Linked DNA regions of Canis lupus familiaris. The protein of the gene in region 1 binds, or shares a complex with, the protein of each later gene. Links are inferred from orthologs where the notes say so. Each region holds a gene or a part of one and is shown in the gene's direction. Other genes may lie near its edges.

The links.
Region 2: CASK (region 1) and LIN7C share a complex: the UniProt entries of both Homo sapiens proteins name them as parts of the brain-specific heterotrimeric complex. The link is inferred for Canis lupus familiaris from reciprocal best matches to the Homo sapiens genes CASK and LIN7C.
Region 3: the proteins of CASK (region 1) and LIN7B are in contact, whole or in part, in an NMR structure (PDB 1Y74), measured with the Mus musculus proteins. The link is inferred for Canis lupus familiaris from reciprocal best matches to the Homo sapiens genes CASK and LIN7B. Residues at the interface, in NP_001271432.1 of Mus musculus: Ala405, Arg408, Ala409, Glu411, Val412, Glu415, Ile416, Tyr419, Glu421, Asn422, Asp424, Ala425, Glu427, Leu428, Ile431, Leu432, Gln434, Phe437, Ala439, Leu440, Leu441, Thr443, His444, Val447, Ala448; in NP_035828.1 of Mus musculus: Leu10, Asp13, Val14, Arg16, Ala17, Leu20, Leu21, Arg23, Leu24, Ser27, Glu29, Leu30, Pro31, Pro32, Lys34, Leu35, Ala37, Leu38, Val41, Leu42, Ser44, Phe46, Cys47, Ile50, Arg51, Tyr54.
Region 4: CASK (region 1) and LIN7A share a complex: the UniProt entries of both Homo sapiens proteins name them as parts of the brain-specific heterotrimeric complex. The link is inferred for Canis lupus familiaris from reciprocal best matches to the Homo sapiens genes CASK and LIN7A.

The regions. Positions count from the first base shown.
Region 1 is NC_049260.1:36,111,905-36,115,404, reverse strand, and holds part of CASK (peripheral plasma membrane protein CASK), read left to right. Parts: intron 1-54; coding exon 55-90; intron 91-1,742; coding exon 1,743-1,939; intron 1,940-3,500. UniProt on the Homo sapiens protein: Multidomain scaffolding Mg(2+)-independent protein kinase that catalyzes the phosphotransfer from ATP to proteins such as NRXN1, and plays a role in synaptic transmembrane protein anchoring and ion channel trafficking.
Region 2 is NC_049242.1:48,957,366-48,961,375, reverse strand, and holds the start of LIN7C (protein lin-7 homolog C), read left to right. Parts: upstream 1-1,210; 5' UTR 1,211-1,277; coding exon 1,278-1,314; intron 1,315-4,010. UniProt on the Homo sapiens protein: Plays a role in establishing and maintaining the asymmetric distribution of channels and receptors at the plasma membrane of polarized cells.
Region 3 is NC_049222.1:108,007,907-108,012,191, reverse strand, and holds the start of LIN7B (protein lin-7 homolog B), read left to right. Parts: upstream 1-1,485; 5' UTR 1,486-1,565; coding exon 1,566-1,602; intron 1,603-2,006; coding exon 2,007-2,125; intron 2,126-2,391; coding exon 2,392-2,463; intron 2,464-3,086; coding exon 3,087-3,296; intron 3,297-4,285. UniProt on the Homo sapiens protein: Plays a role in establishing and maintaining the asymmetric distribution of channels and receptors at the plasma membrane of polarized cells.
Region 4 is NC_049236.1:23,464,641-23,468,855, reverse strand, and holds the start of LIN7A (protein lin-7 homolog A), read left to right. Parts: upstream 1-1,415; 5' UTR 1,416-1,536; intron 1,537-1,703; 5' UTR 1,704-1,863; intron 1,864-2,539; 5' UTR 2,540-2,551; coding exon 2,552-2,633; intron 2,634-4,215. UniProt on the Homo sapiens protein: Plays a role in establishing and maintaining the asymmetric distribution of channels and receptors at the plasma membrane of polarized cells.

The DNA.
Region 1 (3,500 bases):
GTACTCTTGAAAAGTAAATGAAAATTTTTCTCCTGGGTTGGCTTTATTCTACAGGACTTGCCATCAACTACCCAACCAAAAGGACGACAGGTGAATAGATACCCTCTATAGAAACTTCTCTAAACTGAGCTGCTAATAGCCAATCCTTTATTAACCCTTTCCATCCCATAATGTCTGCATTTTGGACCATAACATTTAAGCATTGAGAGCTTGTACCATTTCATTTTAACACATTACACGTGACTAATTTTCTATAAGGATTTTTTTCTTTACATCTTTGTAGCTGTGATGGTTATTGTAATTTCAACCTGATAAACTTGTGTTGATGGTTAAGAATTCAGCCTTTAAGGGGGTCTTACAGGCCTGCCTCTGAAGTTGGGGAAAAAAATTGTTAAAGGTAACAAAATTCCTAGAATTCTAAGAATAACTAAAATCTACGTGCTGATGAACATGTTTAAGCAGTAATTTTCTAAAATCTCAAGGCTTTTTCCTAATTTGTTTTTGCATGTGTAAATCTAAAAGCCATTTACAATGAAAACTCGGAACATCCTGGCTTTCCATCCCAATATGCCTCTTTTGGGTCACATGGGGAAAGTGAAGTGCTGCCTGCCACAAGCAAGCAGCTTCCAGTTTGCCAGCACTTTAAGAGTATGGATTTCAGGTGCAAAGGCAGAGACATGTTAATTTTATAGGCTGGATTTCTGATAAGAAAACTTGAACAGAATAATCACACAATAGTTCCAAAGCCTTCAGGTTGGTTTTACAGTGACTGAAACATTAATATTCAAATATAATTTCAAGAGATAGAATTTTATGGGAATTTTCTTGGAATTTGGTGTCCAGAAATAATCCAATTTGGCCTTAAGGTGTGCACAAATTGGCATCTGAGAGAATTCACCCTGTAGTTTATTTTTAAGACCGCATAAGTGATGCAGCATTAGATATCTAGCATTTCTTAAAATGCTGCCATATGATAACCCCTTGTAGACTAATCTGTTTCCTTTTATAATATCTACTAATTACATTGACATATCCTGAAACTCAGAGCTTTGAATTCTGCATATCTTGAAGCTCTGTGCTGCTTTCAAGTGGCAAAGCTTGGATTCAATGTCCTTTTTCTTTAAGAAGAGTAAAATACAAATACAAAACCTAAATCCTTCTTACATACCTAATAACATGATTTTTTAAATGCTTTAAAAACTGTTTAAATTACATTTAAGTTTATCGACAGTGTGTAGACATGCTGCCAGTTGTCATGTAGGCATTTTAACTAAAGCAAGATGCCAACACAGAGTGCTTGCTACTTTTGTACCACATGCTGCTTCAGGGTTAAAACTTTCCCTGAATGTTTGTGTATATGGTGACAAAGCTGCCACATGATCATGACAACTTGCCCATAACATCAGCTAAATATATGCAGATTTAAAAATGGTAAGCGTGCGTCTCTATGATTAGAGACCTATTCTGTTACAGTAAAAGCAGAAGCTAAGTCTTGATCTTTATTAAACAAGAATTGTTAAGTGTTCCCTCCAAATAAAAACAGCAAAGGTATGAATCTATACACATCAAAGGTATCCCATCATTTCTAGTGGTAGCAATTCTGTGTCCTATCTCCATGCGTCATTTGGCTTCACCATCTAATGTCCTGTTTGTATTGTAAGTGTTGGTGTGTGGTTATTAGGTTAGAGCTGTTTGCTTTCACATCGCCGAGGCAGCCCTTCTTACAAACTCCTGTTTTATAGATCTATGTAAGAGCACAATTTGAATATGATCCGGCCAAGGATGACCTCATCCCCTGCAAAGAAGCTGGCATTCGATTCAGAGTTGGCGACATTATCCAGATTATTAGTAAGGATGATCACAACTGGTGGCAGGGTAAACTGGAAAACTCCAAAAATGGAACCGCAGGTCTCATTCCTTCTCCTGAGCTCCAGGAATGGTATGTTGTTATTCCTTCCATTTTGCTTGACAATAAAAACAAAGCCCTGACCATCCTTTTTGACAACCTTCTATTCTGTTGTGTAAAACCTATTTGCCTCCACTAGCTAAAGTTCAGATTAGTCATCCAAGAACTCTAAATCCTCAACATCTAGTAAATTCCTGCTTAGAGTCAAGTCTTGGTTTTACATAGAAGGGGAGAGGAAAGTCAAGAGAGAGAGAGGTTGAGCGGCTAGCCTCAAGTCATGGTCCCAGTCACCTCATGCTGCCTTAGAGCCCCCCACTCCCACATGCTGCTTCAATCCTTTTAGAACCATGTTTTGTTTTGTTTTGTTGTTTTGTTGTTTACAGATTTTATTTATTTATTTGAGATAAAGCAGTGGGAGTAGCAGAGGGAGAGGGAGAAGCAGACTCCCCACTGAGCAGGTGAGCAGGGAGCCCAATGCAGGGCTCAATCCCAGCATCCTGGGATCAGGACCTGAACTGAAGGCAGATGCTTAACTGACAGAGCCACCCAGATGCCCCTGTTTGGTTTGGTTTTAAAACAAACCCTCTCCTTACCCGTTAGCATGGTCTCCCCATTCTCATTCTACCCCCCACCCCCACCCCAGCAGGCAAAAGCTCAAAGGCCATGATTCAGGGTCACTCAGGATATTTGAAGGTAAAAATGGGTTTTGCCTTTGGGAAAAAAAAAAGAGCAGCCAGAAGCTTCATTCTTTACCTTGCCAAGCCTTTAAAAACACTTACTTTGTTGGAAAGTTTAAGCAGTGAAAACAGGTTAAAGTCAGATAGCTTTTCAACACCATTTTGAACTGTGAGAAAAGGAGTCCCAAATTACTATATATTACTATCTATTTTGGTGAAATCCAAATGCTGTTGTTACAATTCACTTACTTGAACTCTGTTTTGAAAGATGCTGGTGATTTTGCTGTGGCTGGTACTTTGGCAATGTGTGAGAGATCTAGCAAGGAGATGACTCTATCTGAGGTTGTTTCACACAACCCAAAACAGCAACCATTAGACATTGGGGCAGTCTATCCCCAAATACTGGAACCTAGCTAACAGACGCCAGAGGCTCCGAGTCCACCAATGTTGATAATGGTTGATAATGGTTTTTCTCACTAAAGGGATTTCTCAGTGAATTTCCTTTGCGTGATTGCCTCTGTTAGCTATCCTTTGTTTCCAAAAACGTTCTTACGTTTAGATTGTCAGAGCTGATAAGAACTTCAGATGCCATCATTTAATGCGGAGACTCATAGACCCGGATAGAGGAAGTGGCAGGCAGCCTTCCATCTGGCACTGCTTTGCAGTCCAAACTTTAAGAAAATTGTTTTTTTTTAAAAGAAAGAAAGAAAGAAAGAAAGAAAGAAAGAAAGAAAGAAAGAAAGAAAGAAAGAAAGAAAGAAAGAAGAAAGAAAGAAAGTTTTTCTTTTTCTTTTTTTTCTTTTTTATTTCTTCTTTTTTTTTTTTTGAAAGGAGAAATGTCTTTATTTTCCTGTGAGGGACTGTAGTTCTTGACGGACCAGGGGCCCCATAATCACAGCTGGCCCTGAGTCACAGAT
Region 2 (4,010 bases), on another chromosome or scaffold:
AGCCAGGGAGGGGGAGGCGGGTGCAGCGGGAGGGGTGCAGGGCTGGGGACCAGCAGGGCCCGAGGGGAACACGCTGGGGAACCCCCAGCTGGACCCAGTGGTGCCTCCCGAGCAGCCGGGGAGGGGGAGGCAGGTGCAGCGGGAGGGGTGCAGGGCTGGGGACCAGCAGGGATGGAGGAGAACACGCTGGGGAACCCCCAGCTGGGCCCAGTGGTGCCTCCTGAGCAGCCAGGGAGGGGGAGGCGGGTGCAGCGGGAGGGGTGCAGGGCCGGGGACCAGCAGGGCCCGAGGGGAACACGCTGGGGAACCCCCAGCTGGGCCCAGTGGTGCCTCCCGAGCAGCCAGGGAGGGGGAGGCGGGTGCAGCGGGAGGGGTGCAGGGCTGGGGACCAGCAGGGCCCGAGGGGAACACGCTGGGGAACCCCCAGCTGGACCCAGTGGTGCCTCCCGAGCAGCCGGGGAGGGGGAGGCAGGTGCAGCGGGAGGGGTGCAGGGCTGGGGACCAGCAGGGCCCGAGGGGAACACGCTGGGGAACCCCCAGCTGGACCCAGTGGTGCCTCCCGAGCAGCCGGGGAGGGGGAGGCAGGTGCAGCTGGAGGGGTGCAGGGCCGGGGACCAGCAGGGATGGAGGAGAACACGCTGGGGAACCCCCAGCTGGGCCCAGTGGTGCCTCCTGAGCAGCCCGGGAGGGGGAGGCAGGTGCAGCGGGAGGGGTGCAGGGCCGGGGACCAGCAGGGCCCGAGGGGAACACGCTGGGGAACCCCCAGCTGGGCCCAGTGGTGCCTCCCGAGCAGCCGGGGAGCGGGAGGCGCGGTGGGTGCAGCGGGAGGGCTGCAGGGCCGGGCGCGGCAGTGGGCGGCGCCCCGCCGCTGGAGGTCGCTCTGGGGGCGGAGGCGGCCGGGCTCCCAGGGCTCGGAGCCTGCGGGTCTCCGGGGGCGGGAAGCGGCGCGGGAGGGGCCGCTGCAGGTTCCCGACGCGGAGCTCCGGGGAGGAGCTGGGGAGGACTTGGGGGCCGGCGCGGGACTCGAACCCGGGGCCCCGGAGTCACGACCGGGAACCACGCAGGTGCCCCGGGCCAGGTCCTTAAGACCGCGTGTGTGCAATCGGCGCCGCGGAGCGGAGGGGACCCAGGGCGGCCCCCAGCGAGCCCCCCGCCCCCGCCGGAGCACCGCGCCGACTCTCGCGATGCGGCCAGGCCCCGCCCCCGGCGGCCGCTAAGCCCCGCCCCCGCCGCGCCCCGTGTCGTCATTTCCTGTGGGTCGCGGGCAAAGGGAGAAGATGGCGGCGCTGGGGGAGCCCGTGCGGCTGGAGCGGGGTGAGTGCGGCCGAGGCCCCGCGCCCCGGATCCCGGCTGCCCGTCGCCGAAGGTCGCCGCGCCCGGCCGCTGGGGGAGGGGGCGCCTGCGGTCCCCCGGGCGGGGCCCCGCGCGCTCCTCGGCGCCCGCCCCGCCGGCAGCGGCCGTGCCCGGGGCGCAGCCCACCCGCCCTCGCCGCCCTCGCCGCCCTCGCCGCCCTCGCCGCCCACGCGCTCCCACGCGCTCCCGGGGCGGCGTCCGGAGCCGGGTCCCCCCGAGGCGAGCGCCGCGCCGGCCCCGCGGGCGGTTACGTAACGCGGCGGACGCGGCAGGTGCGGTCGCGGCCTCGACTCGGGAGCCGGGCGCTGCTGCTCCGCGGTGCGCCTCGCCGCCGGCCTCGCTGCGGGGTGCAGGGGGCTCGGCGGTGGAGCATCTGCCCGCGGCCCAGGGCGTGACCCCGGGTCCCGGGTTCGAGTCCTGCGTGGGGCCTGCTGCTGCCTCTGCCTCCCTCTCTGTGTGTTCTCATGAGTAAATAAATAAAATCTTTAAAAAATACGTATCCATGAGAATACACAGAGAGGGAGGCAGAGACGCAGGCGGAGGGAGCAGCAGGCCTGACGCGGGACTCGACCCCTTGACCCGGGGTCACGCCCTGGGCCGCGGGCAGATGCTCCACCGCCCCCCCGCCCCGGGCGCCCGAGTCACAGCATCCTTTCTGACCCAGGAGGAAGGTCCTCTGGGGAGACTTTCTCGGTCAGCCCCGAGACCGTGACCACCTCCTCCTCCTCCTCCTCCTCCTCCTGAGCGCAGCGGCGCTGTGCTCTGCAGATGGGAGCAGGTGTGTTCTCCGTTAGCAGGAGTAGGTGTTCTCCTTTTTGAGAGCCGGTGGTGGTGGTGGGATTCCGACACGCCGGCTGGCGGTCTTTTGTATTTGCAAGCGCAGCACGGACTGTGAGACGGCACCTCTGGCACTTACCCTATAGGGGGGTGGTCGCGGCTTTGGTTTGTTTTGTTTTGTTTTGTTTTGCTTTTTTGTTTTTTTGCTTTTTTGCTTTTTCAGAGTCCTTGTCGGGTCTATGACAGAAGGCTCAGCAGCTTAGTAGGATGAATTCCTAGTGGCTGCCATGTAGCCGGACAAGAAAGAGGACACCCACTGTCGCTTCCCTAGAGTTCTGGTTAACAAACACTGCCAGCAGCGCTCAGTGTAAAATTAGTGCCTCACGATCAGGGTCCTGAGCGTCTTCTAAAATAGTCAAAACCTGATTCAGTTGGAGGACATGTGAACACGTAACGAGGTACACTTGAGGTTCAGCAAAGAGTTGTTTCGTCTCCATCTCTTGTTGATTGGAAATATTTATATAGCCTACATGTTGTGACTTTGTAGATTAAAGTAATCCATGAGCCAACAGTCGGGTTCACCAGTCATTTGAATTGTGGGAAATCAGAATGGGGAAAGTCTGATTCCGTTGCATGTGATCAACATCAGTTGAAGCTTTTATTAGCTGAAATCGGGAAAGCTACTGCTTGTTTCACTACATTTATTCCTACTTTTGCAGCTGCATACACAAAGAAGGCCGTATTAATTCTATGAAGAAAAAGTTCCAGGCTTGCGGTATTAGTATAAAGTTTAGAGCTTTTTCCTTTTAAAAGGAGGCAAAGGGGATCCCTGGGTGGTGCAGCGGTTTGGCGCCTGCCTTTGGCCCAGGGCACGATCCTGGAGACCCGGGATCGAATCCCACATCGGGCTCCCGGTGCATGGAGCCTGCTTCTCCCTCTGCCTGTGTCTCTGCTTCTCTCTCTCTCTGTGACTATCATAAATAAATAAAAATTAAAAAAAAATAAATTAAAAAAAATAAATAAAAGGAGGCAAAGAATAATAGGTACTCTAGCCTCCTGGGGTACAAAAACACAGTTTAAAAAAAAAATAGAGGCAGTTATAACAGTGTTTTAACATGACTGACTCTTTTTTTTTGTTGTTTTAATAAAAGATGTTATTTACGTACTTGAGAGAGGGGGATGGAGCCAGGAGGGGGGCAGAGAGAAAGGGAGCAGCAGACTTCCCAGTGCCCGAGGCTCGTCCCAGGACCCTGAGATCATGACCTGAGCCAAAGGCAGACGCTCAACCAACTGAGCCACCCAGGCGCCCCAACATGACTCTGAATCTTAAAAAATGTATTGATTTATAAAACACACTTCCCCTGGGAATTTCCGAACGTGTTTTACCATTGTTTTAACTGTGTTCCTGCCACTAACTGCATCTGTTGTTGAATGGTTCATATCCACACGTAAATTGTGGTTTTCTTTCAGAAATGAACAAGGATTTCCCTAGCACACAGTGTTTGTGCTACTCAGTGCTTTGATTACTGATAATGATAGATAAATTTTTAGTGACTAATGAGCTCCAGATAGAACCATCAGCATTTTGAAGCAATCCAATGTTCGTGTGTCTGTCACATTTGAACCCCTGTCCTTTTCTGTAACATTTAGTATTTTATATTCAGTTTTCCTTCATCTCAAAGATAATTTTTTCCAGATCTTATATGTATGCAACATAAGGCTCCTAATTACATAAAATTTAGCATTCTCAGATTTTGCACTCCCTCCCTCGTATGTGTATTCACATACCCCCTCAAACATGCAAGCTCATACTCTTAGGCTTTTTTTCCCTCTGTATTCTACATTTTCCTGGTTAATCCCTGAGTACTGAATCCTGTTAC
Region 3 (4,285 bases), on another chromosome or scaffold:
TTTGAAAAATTGATAATATCGTGAAAGAAAAGCAGATTGACATCACAGGAGAAAACAGAAGGTGCTCAGGAAAGGCAATGTAATCACAGAACACTGCTTGGGCTCTTTTAGTAAGCAGTAAGTACTTAGACTTAATGGGAGCACTTTATTGATTGCCCTAAAAACTGGTAGCATAAAACTACCATGGGAAGACAGTGGAAAGGTGGTAAGAGCAGAAAATCAATATGTAATGCATTACTAACATCTAAAATTGATAAATTGAGAAATAGGTTCCTTAGATACACAAACAACTAGCAGGACTAAACATCTGTAAGTTGTTGCCTCTTGCAGTGGGGAGAATTAGGACAGGGGCTGGTGCTTCTCAGTATTAGCCCTCTGTGTTACCTGATTTTTTCACTTTAAACTCATTTTTGTTGTTAAAATGAGAGAAAAAAATGCTATGAAGGAGAAGGATAGACAAACTGGCTCCAGTCCTCTCAGCAAAATTCCTTTTCAGAATTCCATATCCCCAGCCAGCTGATTGTGCAGATGGATGGGCAGCAGACTTCTCTATAGTTTTGTGTACATTTCCTGCATTTCTTTGGTATCTGATACCACTGGCTACTTTTTTTTTTTTTTTAACCGCACTCTCTTAACAGGTCTCCCAACCTGGCCATTCTTTGTCTTCTTCCCAACTTTGAAATGTGAGTTTTGGGGACCCAGTTCTGGGTCCTTTTGGTAGTAGGTTATCTTGCCTCCAACTAATGAACACGGCTACTCACCAAGCAGGTCCAGGTATTTCCAAATCTGTCCACCTATCCTCCTGACCGCCTATCCTGGCCCAAGCCATCGCAGGATTGCTGGGAGAGTCTCATGACTGGTCCCCATGCTTCCATTGTTGCTGCCCTCCAATCCAGTCCCCACACCGGGGTTACATGGATCTTAAAATACGTATTTGAGTATCACATTTTACTTTTAGGAGTTAACATGAAGGCCAAAATCATGTATATGCCAACATACAAGGCCGTGCATAAACTATCCTGCCTACCTTTTCACCATCATGAACTATTCTGGTTTTTACTCCGTGGGCTCTTTCTGCCTGGAATATGATCCACGCCCCACCTCCCGATAATCTTCCCTCCAAGGACTCTGTGCCAGCGTCCCTCCTAGAACACCACCTCCTCACTCCCAATATCTTAACCAGCAGTAGTTGGTTGTCTACTTCCCCTGCCCCAAAGACTTAAGTTCGCTGAAGGCAGTGGGCTTGTCTGCCCTGCTCACCATGGTGTCCAGATGTTTAACATGTTTGTCCAATGAACGTGGAAAAAAGGAAGAGACAGGTATGGCGTCAAGGCAGGCAAGCTGCAAGAGTCGGGGTAGGAAACCGGACAGCCCGTTGGCGGCTGTGCGCCGGGAAGCCAGACAGGCGTGGCAGCAGGTGGGGCGGCCGCGGCGCCGGGAGCGGAGCGCACGTCTGGTCGCGCCCTCGCAGGGGGCGCCCGCCGTCCGGGGCGTGGCCTCGCGCAGCCCCGCCCTCCTCGCGGAGACCCGGCAGGCGGGCGGCTAGCGGCGGCGGCGGCGCAGACATGGCTGCGCTGGTGGAGCCGCTGGGGCTGGAGCGGGGTAAGCGCGCCAGGGGGCCCTGCCCACCGGCCGTGGCCCGCGTCCGGGACCCCGGTCCCCGCCCCTCCCCGGCCAGGCCCCGGCGTGGGCGGGCAGATCGAGCGGGGGTGGGCGGGGCGGGGCGCCGCGGTTTGTGGGTGTGGGAGGGCCCGTGGGCTTAGCTGGCCCAGGAGGGGCGCCTACTGCACAGCCCTGCGTGTGTGCCTATGGGGATCTTGGGGCGCAGGGTGCGTGGCCGGCCGCAGGCCCCCCTGCTGCCGGCAACTCTGCGGGTGTCCGACTGGGATTCGGCTGCCTTTCCCGGGATCTGTCAGCGCTCGCCCTTACTCGGTTTCTGGCCGCATCTCTCCGTGCTTCTCCGCGTCTCTGACTCTGTGTCTGTGCGCCCCGCCCCCGCCCCGCAGACGTGTCCCGGGCGGTGGAGCTCCTCGAGCGGCTCCAGCGCAGCGGGGAGCTGCCCCCGCAGAAGCTGCAGGCCCTCCAGCGAGTCCTGCAGAGCCGCTTCTGCTCCGCCATCCGGGAGGTGAGAGCGGTGCGGCGCCAGGGCACAAGCGGGCGGCCGCCGTCCAGGTCGTCGCCCCGAGCCCAGGGACTACACCTCCCAGCAGCGCCGGGGGCGGCCCGCCTTGGGGGGCCCGCGCTTCAGCTCCGTGGTTCTCCGGGAGTTGTAGTTTCCTCCGGCTCCGGGGGGCGGGACCAGCCCTTGGATGGGAGGGTCTGTGGGCCTGGACTCTGGTGTGGAAGGGAGGAGGGGCTGGTGGTTCCCTGATGCTGCTGCGTCTTCACCAGGTGTATGAGCAGCTCTATGACACGCTGGACATCACGGGCAGTGCTGAGATCCGGGCCCACGCCACAGCCAAGGTAGGCGCCCCCCACCCCGTCACTCGTGGTATCCACTGAACTGCGTGGTCTTAACTTAGTAACTTCCTAAAGTCACTCATGCCTGTTTCTTCCTTCAGATTTTTGCCAAATCTGTGTACCACCGTTGCTCTTATTTACTGATATTTTAAATAATCTCATATGTTGTACTTAGATGTCATATAAAGGCATCTTTAGCAACTTCAAATGGAAACTAGTACCGAAGCCTGACAAGAAGATACCTTTTAATTATCACTTATACAATGAAATAGCATGAAACACCGAAATCTTATTAAACTATAAGTTGTATGCTGTTTCTTGCTGCTTCCTAGAGGCCCTTGGCTCTTTCCAGGCTTTGTTTTTCTCTACTAAACATCGAGATTGGCAAGTGTTGAATATTCAACACACTCACACCAAATGGAGACATTCTTTTTGACATGTCTGAAAGTTCCAAAGGGAATTCAGAGACTCGTTACAGTGTGAGCTTGCATTGAACTGTGGCAGGTGTCCCCTGCGTGGGGAAAGTAGTCCCCCAATCGCTGGCTTTCTCTGTCCCAGATCCTCCCCTCTTCCCCACCTGCCCACTATGGAGGGGCCCTCACCTCTCAGTGCCTTCTCTCTTGCAGGCCACAGTGGCAGCCTTCACAGCCAGTGAGGGCCATGCACATCCCAGGGTAGTGGAGCTGCCCAAGACTGATGAGGGCCTGGGCTTTAACATCATGGGGGGCAAGGAGCAGAACTCCCCCATCTACATCTCCCGCGTCATCCCTGGAGGCGTGGCTGACCGCCATGGAGGCCTGAAACGTGGGGACCAGCTGCTGTCAGTGAATGGTGTGGTGAGTGGGGCCTGAGGCTGGGCTCACAGTGTATTCAAGGTAGCACAGTTCCTGCTTTTGACATTCATTCAACATGCAACCATTGAGTACTGCCTCTTTGTCTGGCCTTGTGCTGGGCACTGCTACAGACCTGGAGAGAAGTTGGCCTCAGCTGCTGTATTCAAGGACTCCCTTTTTGGTGAAGGAGATTGACTGGAATAGTCCTAATCTGGGGAGATAATAATGAGGCACAAAGCACTGTGGGAGCCACATTTGGGCCCAGACCAGTATAGATCAGGGGAGTTTTTGCAGAGAAAGGAACATTTGAGTTGGGTTTTGAAGGATGAAGAGGAGTTCTCCAGGCAAATAAGATAGAGTATTACCAGCTAAGGATGTTGCAGGTAGGGACTGTGACTCTATATTCCTTCCAGCTGAACAGAAAGGGCTTAGTCTGGGGGAAGGACTGGAGCACATAGTTAATTAAAATCACTGTAGTTAGAAATAGATGGAAGCACAACTGGATCAGTAGTTGGGGCCTCAGTCACAGCCTGAGAAGCTGGGACTTTGTCTCAAGGGTTGGGGATTGGGGAGTGATGTGGAGGCCATGAATAGGAGAAGGATAGGCTCCGCTTGGAAGTATAGAAGGATTGCTTTGGGACTCTCTAGGGGATGGACTGAAGGCAGAGACTGGAAGCCAGAAGTTCTAGGGTGGAGGTGAAGTGAAAGTCCACCGGAGAAAGGATGAGGTCTAAGCTGGGATCAGGATGGTGAGGACAGGGTAGGGAGTCAGTAAGAGGAAAGGGGCTGAGGATTAGCAGGCTTTGGGGACAGAGTGGGTAAACATGGACCTGGAGGTCTGTCTTAGAGAGGGCAGTTAGGGCTTGTCCCTACCATGAAGAATGTGGAAGGTTTTGAGGGAGGACACTGAGCCAAGAATTAAGGACTCTCCCATGAGGACACGAGGCCTTGACAACTCAGGCTGGTACCAGGCTCACCAACAGTAGGTCCCA
Region 4 (4,215 bases), on another chromosome or scaffold:
ACTTTTTCTTTTAATCTTTACCAAAACTCTACAGAGTCAACATGGAGAGATTATGAAAGAGCAAATTTTCAATTGGGGAGCTCAAAGTACAAGTCTAGAAGCAGGCTATAAAATGTTTGGTACTGGGGATACATCAGAAAACAAAACGACAAAAAGCCCAATTTCCTAGACCTCACAACCTAAGATTTGTGCTGAAATAGGTACACTTACGGCTTTTAGACTCATGAATCAAGCCGCTCAAATACATATTCATAATAAAGTAGATTGTTAAAAGAACTACATTAGTGACCAGCGGATTTGTGTGTTCCTTTCATCCTCAATTATTGAATGAGGTTTGATATTTCGTGCAAATCCAGGGAACAGACTCTGCTGTTTATTACGCACAGTGTAACTTTTTTTCTGTTGTTTGGCTTAGGGGATGAGAATGATGATCATCAGCCAGAAGCTTGCTTCCTCCTGTCCTTTCCATGCTGCTTAGAGCACTTACCGCATGGAATTCTCACAGCTTGCTTGCTCATTTCTTGTCTCCCGACCTGGACTGGGCCATTGTCCAGGTGTCTCCCCACCTGGACTGGGCCATTGTCCAGGGAAAGGGCCACGTCTCTAATCTTTGTGGGCCAAGCACCTAGCACACTGCTTGCCACCTGGTTCAGGTGGGGTGTAGGTTTCTGGTGTGAGTAAGCGCGTACATACTTTCCTGTTTTCAAAGCAGTTCACATGCACAATATCATCAGGCCCTCACAAAACTCAGATTGTAGGGTAGAATTAGTTCTTCATTTTACAGAATCTCAGTGAAATTGAAGGTTATTAATTCCTTTGTTTGACAGATGAGTAAAGGGGATCGGTGAGAGATCCTGTGATTTCTGAAGAGCACATAGCTAAGACTTGAATTTCAAGATCAGAGTTCTTTCTTAAAAACCAAATGAAATACAGGCATGTTGAACTACTATTTTAAGTAGGTCTTTAGGATCAATGTGGTGTATGGACAGTCATCTTTGAGTTGCTCAAATCACTGGGGAAATCTTTTTTTTTTTTTTTTCCAAATGTAAAACATGGGATGGAAAAGATCTCCAGAAACCACCCATATTGTATCCGGAAGACAATGAAATGGATGATATGCCAATATTTTGCTGTAAAATCGTGTCTGCCTTCAAGGGTGCATTGCTAGCCAAAACCATTTTGCTTTGTCACGGGGAAGGGGCTGGAGGCAGCTCTGCCACTTCCACTCCTGAACCCACAGGCATCACCATTCTGCTTCTCTAAGATTTCTATGTGCTTCTTATTTTCTTGATCAGGGAATGAAAGTCCCTATAGTGGCAGCAGAGTGAAAGCCATCGAATGGAGTGAAGGGGTCACAGGCAGCATTTGAAGGTTCTAGTCACTGACGCCTGACCAATCGACTCTTAAACGACCCTTTTAACGACATCCTGTCCCACACGACCACAGGCTGCATGAAGGCAGGGCCTGTCCCCAGCTCCCAGGCGGCCTGTGACCAGGGAGGCAAGCAGCGCTCCTGGCTTCCCGCCTGCCACGCAGGTTAGTCAATCATCAGTGGCCACTCTGGTAACCCTGGGTGCGGATCAACCCGAAAAAGGGCTGCCTCCGTATTTTTCACACCGAGGGACACAAATGTCTCTCTCTCTCTCTCTCTCTCTCTCTCTGTGGTTTAATTTAAAACCATTTTTAAGAAGTTTGTGCTTAAGGTCCGTTAGGTCCTCGGCCACCCCCTCCTGGAGTGATGGAGCCCTGAGTCAGTTACCGGGCACACCGTTGGGCCGGGCGTTCCAAAGGAACTCGAACACAAAGTAGCTGCCGCTGCTCACGGAACCCCAGCATTTCTGGACCAGAAGCATGTTCTAAGGGGTAGGCTCCTGGCTGGACAATTGCTCTTAATCCGGAAAAAAAAAAATCCATCCTCCTCCTCCCCCCCACCCCGTGCCTCCCCCCTGCACCCCCCCACCTCCCCCGTGCCCCGTCCCTCCGCTCACCCCCCACGCCTCCCCCCGCCCCTCCCCCCGCAACCCCTCCTGTGCCCCCCCGCGCCCCATCCCCCGCCCTCCTCTCGTGCCTCCCCTCCTGTGCCCCATTCCCCGTCCCCCTCACGCCCCCTCCCGTGCGCCCCCTCCCGTGCGCCCCCCTCCCGTGCTCCCATCCCCCGCCCCCTCCTGTGCCCCCCCGCGCCCCATCGCCCCGCCCCCTCCCACGCCCCCTCCTCCGTGCCCCCTCCCCATCCCCCCGCCCCCCCGCCTCCCCCGCGCCCTCCCCCCCCCGCGCCCCCTCCCCCGCCCCTCCCGGGAGGCGCACGCACTCCCCGCCCATTTCATCTGCGTGCGAAGTTGCAGGGGCGGCCCGCGGGCTGCCCGGTTCGCGCTCGGCGGCCGCGCCAAGTTGCCGGCCAGCCGCCCTCCGCGCTCCGCTACCTGCGCCGCCGCCCCGCCGGGCCCCCCGCCGGCCCCCCCGCGCCGCCCCGCCCCGCCCCCGCCCCCGCCCCCACGGCGCCCCCGCCCCCGCCCCAGTCTCCTCCTCTTTTTCTCACTAGCAGCGGCGGCTGATGCTGAAGCGGAGCGTCGCTTCGGCTCCCGCGGCAGACATGGCGACACTGACAGTGGTCCAGCCGCTCACCCTGGACAGAGGTAAGGCGGCGGCGGCGCGCCCCGCGCCCCGCACCCCGCGCCCCGCGCCCCGCGCCCCGCACCCCGCACCCCGCGGCGGCCGGGCGCGCTCCGGCAGGGGCGGCGGGGGCGGGCGCGCAGAGCGGGACACTTTGCCCCCTTCCGCGCCCCCGCGCCCCCCGCGCCTCCGTGACCCCCGTGCCCCCCGCGCCCCCGCGCCCCCCGTGCCCTCCGTGACCCCCGTGCCCCCCGCGCCCCCCGTACCCCGGGGCGCCGGCTTGTCCGGGCGGCGCAGGCTCCGGGGGGGGGGCGGAGACCGCGGCTGCGGGGGGAGCCGGCGGGAGCAAGTTTGTCCGGGCGGCGGGGCCGGGGCGGGGGTGCGCGCGCGGGGTCCGGGCGGCGGCGGCGGGGAGCGGCTGTCCCGGGAGCCCCCTGCCCTGCGCCCCGGCCTCGCCGTCCCCCAGCCCCGGGGCCGCGGAAGGCGGGCTTGCGGCGCAACTCTTGGCGGAGGCTGGGGTCCCCGGGGCCCGGGTGCCCCCCGGCGCTGCGCCGCCCGCGTCCCCCCCCCCCCCCGAGGCCGCCGCCCGACGCGGGGAGCGCAGCGCTCGAGGGCTCCGGGGGCGCGGGGGGCGCGGGGCGGGAGCGCATCCCGCAGCTGCAGCCCGGCCTCCGGCGCGCTCCGCGGGCCCCGCACTGGCCGGGCCGCCGGACTGCAAGGCGCCCGAGCAGGTTCCGCACGGAGCCCGCAGCCGCCTTCCTTGGGGGGTGAGAGTGCAGAATCTAAAAAAAAAAAAAAAAAAAAAAAAAAAGAAACAAAGAAAAGAAAGAAAAAGAAAGGTAATAGTTGATTGTCTGCTGCCGAATGCTGATGTGCAAGCCTGCAAATTAAGAGCGGTGGTTACAGAGCTCACAAACCCACTGTGCAACCCAGGATTCCAGCCCGGGATCGTCACCGACCCTACAGCAGCGTAAATCCATTGCCGCCACGACCCAAACAGATGGCAAGCCATTAGGAATTATGGATTTCCTACGAATTTCTGTTTTAACGTAACGAGCTCTTATATTGCCCCATTGACTGAATCAGCTTGTACATATATATCCCCAGTAAAACGACTACACTGGGAGAAAGAAAAAAAAAAAGAAAAAAACAAACTCCCAAGAAAATTGCCTTCCCTGAGCAAGCTGATGTATCAGGACTACTAAAAACGTTTTGCTCTTTGGGTTTCTGCCTCAGACCTTAGATTTCCTGACTGGGTGGTGCAGAGGAAGCACAGTCAGACCTAGATCTGCCCTTAAACTTTGTTCTTGTTTGCAGCCAGACTGTACCTGTCCTTTCCCAGTGTGATTGGGTTCACGTAATAAGTAGCTCAAGAGGCAGAATGAGACTGGATGCAACTGAATAAATGAACCAGCAGCTAGCTGCAAGGTCTGTGATTGATGGATGAGGAAGTTATTGGCATCATTGCTGTACATGAAGTCAATGCATATACATATTTTTCCCCTCTACATTATTAAACTGTGATTAATGAGTTGATGGCATCATTTAAACCAGTGAAAGAAAAGGTTCTGAAAACTGTTCCTACCAAAAAAAAAAAAAAAAAAA